Xenopus tropicalis: one gene and its partner. The protein of the gene in region 1 purifies or fractionates together with the protein of each later gene. This does not show direct contact. Links are inferred from orthologs where the notes say so. Each region holds a gene or a part of one and is shown on either strand. Other genes may lie near its edges. The genes, in order: rps6ka3 and fgfr2.

Region 1 (4,428 bases):
GCTTCCTACAGATACCCTGGGCTGGTGCTTTTTTCTCCTAACAGGGGCACCAGCCCAGGGTACGAGGTAAGAGATCTAAGTCACTTGGAGGTGCCTAACATTTTCGCACCCCCAAGTGACTTAGCCTTTCCTTCCCCTTTAAGCAGGTAATTATTTGTTACTGGAAACTGCAAGCATCACGTCATAGGACCCTCTCCTAACTACCAACGCTGGCAGGGGTCCCTAAACTTTCTTACATATGAGTCACAGTCAAATGTAAAAAGACTTGGGGAGCAACACAAGCACCATAAAAGTTCATGTAGGTGCCAAAGAAGGGCTAAGATTGGCTATTAGGCAGCCTCTATGCACACTATCAGCTTACAGGAAGCTTTATTTGGTAGTAAATCTTGTTTTTATTCAACCAAATCTTGCCCCCAAGTCAGGAGCAACAATAAAAAGTTGATGCGCAACATATTGGTTGGGGATCCCCCTTGCTCAAGTGTGGCATATTTTCACAAAACATCTCATATTTACTAAAAAATCATAAGTACAAATTTTCTTTTGGCATAAGTACTCTTTTAAAGCATTGTATTTTCCCTGTACAATTCTAGTGGTTAAAATTTGCTAGAGAATAAATGACATGTGGGATATTAGCATGGAAGAGATAACATAGAAAATGAGATGCAAAGTGGCCAAGGTGTCATTATAATGGAAGTTTGCTAGCCTAAACCTGGAGCCATTTCTCTTGGCTAGCATTCGTTCCTGCGCTATTCATAAATTGGCAAATATTTCACACTAGAAAAATTTTTACCTTGGCGAAATGAGGTTAATGTTTTGTTTCGATTCACAAACAATTATAATCCTTTATAGTAAATTGCCAACGTTGTGGCAAATTTTTATTTTCGGTAACAATATGCCAACCTCTGTAAATATGCCCCTATGTAAGAGATAACACGCACAAATTGCGCAAGGTACAGACTGCCGGAGAGACATCCTGCGAGAGAAAGAAAGCTGTCACTCACAGAGAGAGAGAGAGACCGGAGATATTACATTTATAGAATAAGCACTGCATTTCCCTTACATCCACTGAAGGCATGAGCAAAGCTTACATGAGCTACAAACACTGGCCAAATCTTTCTTTATCGAAGGAGTGTAAAAAGGCATGAATCTGTATACAAGAACGGAAGTCAAGGCTGGGAACCGGGGCTCACCCACCCATATACCCACCCATATACCCACACATATACCCACACACAACCACGACACAGCGTCTAGCTGAAACCTTATTCATTTGCGTAACCGGAGACTCATCTAACATGGGAGGGCAGGCATTCCGCCTATGACGCAATTTTACCCAGAATCCTCTTCCCCCGACTGTCACCTGTACTCCGAACTGAAGGGAGGGGAAGGCCGCCCACTGCATGTGACGTAGGGGTGACGCGCACCGTGCCTTGCTGCGAGCGGCAGGTACCGCTGGGGACGCCATGTTGTGAGAGGAAGTAAAGATCTGTGTGAGTGAGAGAAGGGAGAAGAGCTGTGCTGGAGTGGTTCTGGCTTGCCGCGCAGTACCGGACAGCTCACGGTGACTCTAGGGGGGCGGACTGGAGCTCGGTCACTTTGGTGATTTTTGGGGACAATTGCTGGAATCACATCGGGTTGAAAAGATGCCGCTGGCGCAGCTGGCAGACCCGTGGCAGAAAGTGCCGGTGCAGAAAGTGGGAAGCGAGGTAAGATACAAATAATGGAAGGTGCGGGTATCTCGGCCAGAGAGAGAAGGGGACACAGTCCTTTCACAGGGAAGGGTTCCGCCTGATCGGCACTTATCTCTTTCCATCCCGAATGAGTATGAAAGTGTGAGTGCTTCGGGCTATCTAGTTCGGGCAGTAGTACAGACTCCCTGGCACTCCAGCTTCAACTTTTAGCAGCTCCGTTTCTTACCAGCTGCGTTTCTGAGAGGATGCTGGGAGTAGTAGTAACACAATAGCGGGAGTGCCAGAACATAACTATCTCTGGGCTGTTTAACTCTTTCCATCTTGCAGCACTCACTGACAGCTCTTGGTGGGGAATGCCAAGTAGCAATTGAGTTACAGGGGAACTCCACGCTGAAAATGTTTTTTTTTTGCATAATAATAGAAAATGCTATTCTGAACAACTAACTAATATACATTAAACGTTTTAGTTAAAAGTTATTTTCAAGCATAATTGCTATTGAAAACGGAATCCTTTGCCTTTCTGGTTCTGACTCCAGCTCCTTAACAAACCTGGAGAGTTGACCTGCTACATTGTTTCAACAGTCAGAAACTGATAACATTAAGAGATGTCTATAAAGCCACTGAAAATGTTTAATGTAGAATGGAAAGTTACTTTTGGGTGGGGTTGCCCTTTAAGGACCTGGAGGTAGTGGATTTAAGACGCATTTATATTTTTAGTTCTTTTCTTTTATGTGTTTTTGTCTATTTCTTATTAAGTAAGAGTTCAGCCTCCTATAATATTGTGTGAAGCCATAGAATTAGTAATGTACGTTATAGCTAAATTGGTTATTGGATAACAAATTGCATGTATATGACCCTAGAATTCCAGCCCTTTCTCGGAATGTTTACATTCTATTAATAGAATCTCATTAACCCTCTAAATAATTCTCCACATTATTCATAATGGCTGAAAGAACTGGTAGAAAACTGGCAGCAAATGGCAGAATGTAGCCATGTACAGGTCTGTACTTGTCTCCCCTGCCTTTGGAAACCCACCCCTACCTTTTATAGTTAGTGATAGACCAAGTGGGGTTTATTTTGTGCCATTCACTAAAGGGCAGTTAGACCAAATAAAAAAAATTGTGCTAGTGCACGTATTTATGCCTTGCAACAGGAATGTTTCTGTAGATAAGAGGCTGCAAGAGACTGGCATTTGTAGGTTTTGTAATGTGCAGATGTGGGCAATTAAGACATAAGCTCTGTTGTAAATATAGAAGGACGAAGGGAGGTGTCTTTCACTTTATACTGCAGGGACTAGAAGTGAAATGAAGGAAAGCACACAGGGCAGTGCCTGATAGTGTGCAAGTGAGCAGAGCAAAGGTACTGCGCTGCAGGTAAAGGAGATTTTAGAGATTCAAGGTTGAATGACTAATTGAGGGCTAGGAAAGGAGTGACGATGTGACAAAGTGCTGGCAGCCAATGCCGTTCAGTAATTTGACAGGAAGCGTTCCAAGATAATTTGGCAAGTTTAATACTCATTGTCTTTATAAAACCTCCAATTTAAGGCATGGCGCATACGTCTGCCTTACAGTTTAATTACACACACATATCGGTTCATTTGGGATCAGTTGTTCCTGTTTGGGTAGTGTGTTTGATATATAGAACCTGGCTTTATAATTTATATGTTTAACATTTGAAATCTTGTACATCAGCAGCTTAAGCTGTATGCTCATCTGTTTTATATCCAAAACAAAGGAAATGGAACAGAATACATTGTATCTTTGCACCTGTATTTATAAATATAGTGTGTATCATTTCTAGTAAACACAAACATATTTCTCAAAAACCACCTAAAGGGGTAATGCACACTAAAGACTCAGATTATTGGTATTGCTGCATAGCCCACGCCACCTCTAGCGGAACCTAGGAAATCATCTTTTAGTAACTGGTGGGAAGCTGAAGCACTTCTAGTATTTGTGTGTTCTTGGGTGTACAGGAAGTCCCTAAATAAACTGTCTCTTGCCTCTTCCTGTGCATCAATCTTTGCTCTCTTCTTAGTTGTCTCTGCAGTCACTTTTGAAAGCTACAGAGCTGGTTTGGTCAGTAAAATTACTGTGATTTTCTGGAAAGCTTTCTATATTTTATATGCACTCTGGGTTGGGGGTCTCAAATGTAAATATGCAAATATTTTTTTTATATATATAATATTTACAATTCACAATGCAGATTCCATTGAACAATATATTGCTAACTAATTACTTATGTGTATGCACGCAAATTTCTCTTTTTTTCTATTGCTGTTCTCATTCTTTTACTGAGCCAACAAAATATTCTATTCCTGACCTTTCTCTGACGTTTTTCTCCTTATTCCTCTGTAACCTGATGACCATTGCTGAATGTATTTGCCACCAAATAGGGAATTCTGGGATGGAGGAGGCAGCATTTCTAAGCAAAGGGGCTTTCAGTATGCTATATTTTTATTTTGTATATCTTAAACACGTTTTCTTTTTTATTTTAAAGTGGCACAATATAGATTACCAGTGTTTATCACTCTCCACGTATACATTGTTGAATACAGTTCTCTGGGATGTATGATCATATTATTTGTCAGCTGCTTCTCAGCCGCTTGGATGTTGCTACATCATCCGTGGGCGTTGATGAGTTTGCTGGAAAGGATGGAGAGCATCCAGGGATCTTCATACTACTTTTTTGATGATTGCTAGCATACTACATAAAAATGTCTTTGGACGTGTATATG
Region 2 (4,525 bases), on another chromosome or scaffold:
TTTAACCCCTGCACCCCTGAAACCTGCTAAATCCCTGGAAGGCACAGTGCTGGCGCTCTTATTTGTGCATTTAAATCCCATATAGAATTTCTCATTTCTTTCCAAGAAGTTTTTGGCTTCCTCCCCCAGCACTCCACCATAGATTTCTATTATCTAAAGGTTTGGCCAAGATCAGAAAATAGCCCTAATCTGCATTTTAATTGAGATTCCACAGAAGGGGAGACCGTGCCTCAATCCCTACTTATCAAGGGGCTTTAGTGCAACCCCCATTAAACCCGCACAATGAGCGGGGGCACCATGTACACTCTCATATAAAGCCAAGGAATTCAGCCTCCCTCTTGGCCACGGATTCCCCCATTGTATGCACCCCAGATTCCAGCACACAATGTACATTTAATGAGGGCTCCACAATGCACTTTTTCACACTTAACACATCCAGTACGGAGATTTGTAAAAGGGTTGTTATCTTTTTAGACCAAGCTCCGACACCAAGGTACAATGGAGCTTCACAACAAAATGCAAACACCAACGCACAGTCCCAAGAGCAGTTGGCACACAGGGATTTTACATGCAGCCCCTGGAACCTTTACATTATAGATGGATTTTTTCCCCCTTTACAAACAGCCTTCAAGTCAGTTCCTTGATTAACACCAGATACCACGCTGACTGGGTTAGGAATTCACGGCCGGTGGGACAAAGGAATGTTTTGCAAGGATTTTTTTTATAATGATAAAGAAAACCTGAATTTTCCAAAATGTGAAGCTTTTGTTGGGCTGCGTTCAGGGGCCTGTAATGCGTCTGTGGCTTTGCCCGCTGTGTGGGTGCTAAACACCTAACAGGCCTCTCTCACGGGTAGAATCCTAGCCCCTTTCTTCCTTGCCCGATGCAGACTATAAACCTGTCATTAATGGATCGGCAGTTCGTTTAACCTGTAGGAAGCACCCCCCCCAACCCTGATGTTGCCGAGTTTTGCGTAGAAAATAAAGGAGGACAAATAAAGAGAATTAAAAGCCGAAGGGGCTGCTGTGGGGCAGGCAATATTAGGCTCAGCAGGAGGAGAACATGTAAAATATTCATGCAAATATCCAAAATATGAGGACCTGGGGGTGCATTATTGCCCCCAGGACATTTTACATAAAACAGTCTTTACAAGATAGCGTTAGTACATGAATGCAAACACAGACATAGCGAGGGTACATACACACTACTACTCAGACTGTCCGTGCCCCTTGTACTGGGCCCCTCGAGCATCTTAGCACCTAAACAGTCCTGTCAAACCCTAGGGCAAAGGCACGCAATGGATCCTGCATTGGTTCCATGACCCTTTACTTGTCCAGCCCTACGTATGTACACAGTGGAAATGTAAATGTGGCTTGTGGCTCTGCTCTATGCATATACATAGCAACCGGTCCATCAGACCCGGTGGGTTCCAGCATTCGTGCCCATTGTGATACATAACTGTACAAAGAAAGACCCTATTGTTTAGCGAGCATTTAGGAGCAATCAGGAGTCGCACTCCCCTACTGCACAAGGGGTACCCACGGGTATAACATTGTAACCTGTAAAAGCAAATCCACATTCTGCAATGTTGTTTGTCCAGCCTGCAGCCCTCCAGCTGATCTGGAACTCCCAGAATTCCCCAGTAAGCTATAAGCATCAGATAATAGTGAGAGTGGCATTTAGACTGTCTGGTCATGACCAAGGGCCTATGTTTATATGTTACATTCATAAACCTACTTGGGGCAAAGCATGCTTTGTTGCATACCATAATGCAGGCCGCAGTGGCCCTCCATATTATTCACATTTATTTATAAAGCGCCAACATATTCCGCAGCGCTGAACAATAAGTGGGTTCCATACATTGGACATACAGAGTAACATATAAAGCAATCAATAACCGATACAGGAGGTGAAGAGAGCCCTGCCCAAAAGAGCTTACAATCTACAAGGAGAAAGGGTTGAGACACAAGGTGTTGTTCAACTGCAACAGGCTTTGGGCAGTCAAAAGCCGCTCACTTGTAGGCTGCCCAATGGCTGACCATTATCACCCAAGTTTGACCATTAATTACCAGCTTTTCTTAGTTTGGGAAATATGATTGCTTTGATCCCATTTGTCTATAACAATTATAATAACACATAGACATAGCGCCTTCTACAACAACTTTCCAACATCAATCCTGGGAGCTACCACACAGCTTGCATGGCAGGGGTAAAATTAAATATTATCCACTCACTCCAATAATATAGCGCCTCATAGTGGCCAAACATGCCAGAAAGCTTTAATATTTAAACCCAATTTCTTGTAGGCACTTGAGTACCATTCACTTCAGCAATAAATACAAGCTGGGCAAAAGTCCATGTTTTTCAAAATTCATAACGATCTAAAGCTGTTTTAAATGTTCTAAAACACCAACCCACATTATCATGCATTGCTCCCATAAATAAAGACCATAAAGTAAAATATGCAACAAACATCACCCTGCAGCGGTTTTGTGCGGCAAAGCGAATTTAACGCATTGCGCTTCCAATTACGCACAGCGATTTCCTCATTACCTGATTAAAGCAAGGAGTTTTAGACAAGTTTAACCAATGACATGACACAGGTATATCCCCTGTGGGGGTCTGTACCCCAGTTCTATTAGGCTGAGAAGCCCCTCCTAGAGTTACAACGTTGCGGGTTTGTTGGCATTACCTGGAGAGATGGCGGTGTAAGAAAATCCCCTCAGCCCTGCATCAGGCGTGTGCCTGGCAAGACTCCGTGTGTCCCAGGGGACAGATTCCCAAGTCCCGTTTCAGCCAATGAGAAATACGTATCCCTCCGAGCGCAGGGTGAGCGAGTCCCGATCCCGACTCAGAGCCCGGTAACCAGCAGCAGCCAAAGCCAGTGAGGTTCCAAAGAGGGGAACAGGCAGAATCCCCTTTGCAGGGTGAATGAGTAAGTTCTCTGTGATTTCTTTTCTCTCTGAGTGAATCACCAATCCCCTGATAGTCCCACAGTGATGAATCCCGCAAGGTTCAGTGCATAGGAATCCCGGTAAGTGCTATCCAGGCAAGCCAAGCCCTTCCAGGCAGCAGTGCAGCCACAAACAATAAGGTAATAGGTAGGGAAAGTTCCCAAAAGTGGATGTGTGAGAGGTGCAACCCAGTGTAGATCCCGTGTGTGAGGGGCAATGGAAAGTCTGTGTGACTTTTCCCTCCCTCCCCCTCACTCCTCATCCTCACTCCCAGCCCCTTCCTCCTCCCTGAGTCACTCCCCTCTGTCTGGAACCTGAGCCTTCATCCCTCCCTTCATCCAATGCTGGAGCAGCTCCTCTCCCCTGGCCCAGTCTCCCTTCCCCAAGCCCTGCTGGCCCTCCCCCTGTGCCTGCCCCACACTTTGGCATACATCACTGCACAGACTGGGGAAGGTTTGTTTGTATTGGAATTACTATGCTATGTGCGCTCTCTTTCTCTCCCATTTTCCATCTCCTTCTCCTAATATTTATCTTCTCTTCATACCCCCCTCATCATTAAACAAACAAAAAAAAAATTAAGATCACCGGTGAGGTCACAGTATTTTAGTGATGTCATACTGTGTACTTGCATCGCCATTGGGCAATAGGGTTGGCAATGTTAACAAGAGAAAAATAATCTTCTACTGCCTAATTATAAATATATTATAAGTAATATTTTTATGGCGCTACTAATTATATTCAGCTATACAAAGTAGAAAATAAACCTCTGTGCCAAAGAGCTTACAATCCTGTAACTGTCACTGCTATAGGGAGGCTGGAAGGTTCTATAGGTTCTACTGAATAGGTGATTGGTAAAAAGTGCTTTGAAAGGGTACAGATTGCAGCACTCAGGCTCAGACTGGCAATCTGTGGATTCTGCAAATGCCAGCTATATAAAGTAAGCCTCTGTACCAAAGAACTTACAATCTAAAATCCTGTCACTGTCGAAGGGAGGCTGGAAAGTTCTGCTGTATAGATGATTAGTGTCTTGAAAAGGTACAAATAGGGACACTCGGGCCCCGACTGGCAATCTGTGGGTCCTGGCAAATGCCAGCTATATAAAGTAAGAGTAAGCCTCTGCACCAAAGAACTTACAATCTAAAATACAGTCATTGTCAAAGGAAGGCTGGAAAGTTCTACTGTACAGATAATTTGTGTCTTGAAAGGGTACAAATATGTGTGTATGTATGTATATCTTTATTTATAAAACGCTACTTATGTACGCAGCGCTGTACAGTAGAATAGATTAATACAAACAGGGTGTTAATAAGATAATAGATAAATACAAAGTATAATAATAAATACAGATAAATACAGCAGCAATAAGTTGAGAGTCGAGGATACAAGAGGAAGGAGGTCCCTGCCCCGTAGAGCTTACAATCTATATAAATAGTGACACTCAGGCCCGGACTGGCAATCTGTGGGTTCTGGCAAATGCCAGAGGGGCTGCTGTAAGATGCCATAGACACTCACTATTTATTGGGCTAGTGGGGGGCTGTTTGGGCTTCTCTGTACATGAAATACCAGGGCCT

Evidence for each region.
Region 2: the proteins of rps6ka3 (region 1) and fgfr2 purify together in Homo sapiens (affinity purification with mass spectrometry; 3 studies listed by BioGRID and IntAct, counting the BioPlex papers as one, with this or other methods). This does not show direct contact. The link is inferred for Xenopus tropicalis from reciprocal best matches to the Homo sapiens genes RPS6KA3 and FGFR2.

Annotation. Positions count from the first base shown.
Region 1 is NC_030678.2:43,846,379-43,850,806, reverse strand, and holds the start of rps6ka3 (ribosomal protein S6 kinase alpha-3), read left to right. Parts: upstream 1-1,325; 5' UTR 1,326-1,643; coding exon 1,644-1,706; intron 1,707-4,428. UniProt on the Homo sapiens protein: Serine/threonine-protein kinase that acts downstream of ERK (MAPK1/ERK2 and MAPK3/ERK1) signaling and mediates mitogenic and stress-induced activation of the transcription factors CREB1, ETV1/ER81 and NR4A1/NUR77, regulates translation through RPS6 and EIF4B phosphorylation, and mediates cellular proliferation, survival, and differentiation by modulating mTOR signaling and repressing pro-apoptotic function of BAD and DAPK1.
Region 2 is NC_030683.2:19,258,166-19,262,690, reverse strand, and holds the start of fgfr2 (fibroblast growth factor receptor 2 precursor), read right to left. Parts: upstream 3,079-4,525; 5' UTR 2,693-3,078; intron 1-2,692. UniProt on the Homo sapiens protein: Tyrosine-protein kinase that acts as a cell-surface receptor for fibroblast growth factors and plays an essential role in the regulation of cell proliferation, differentiation, migration and apoptosis, and in the regulation of embryonic development.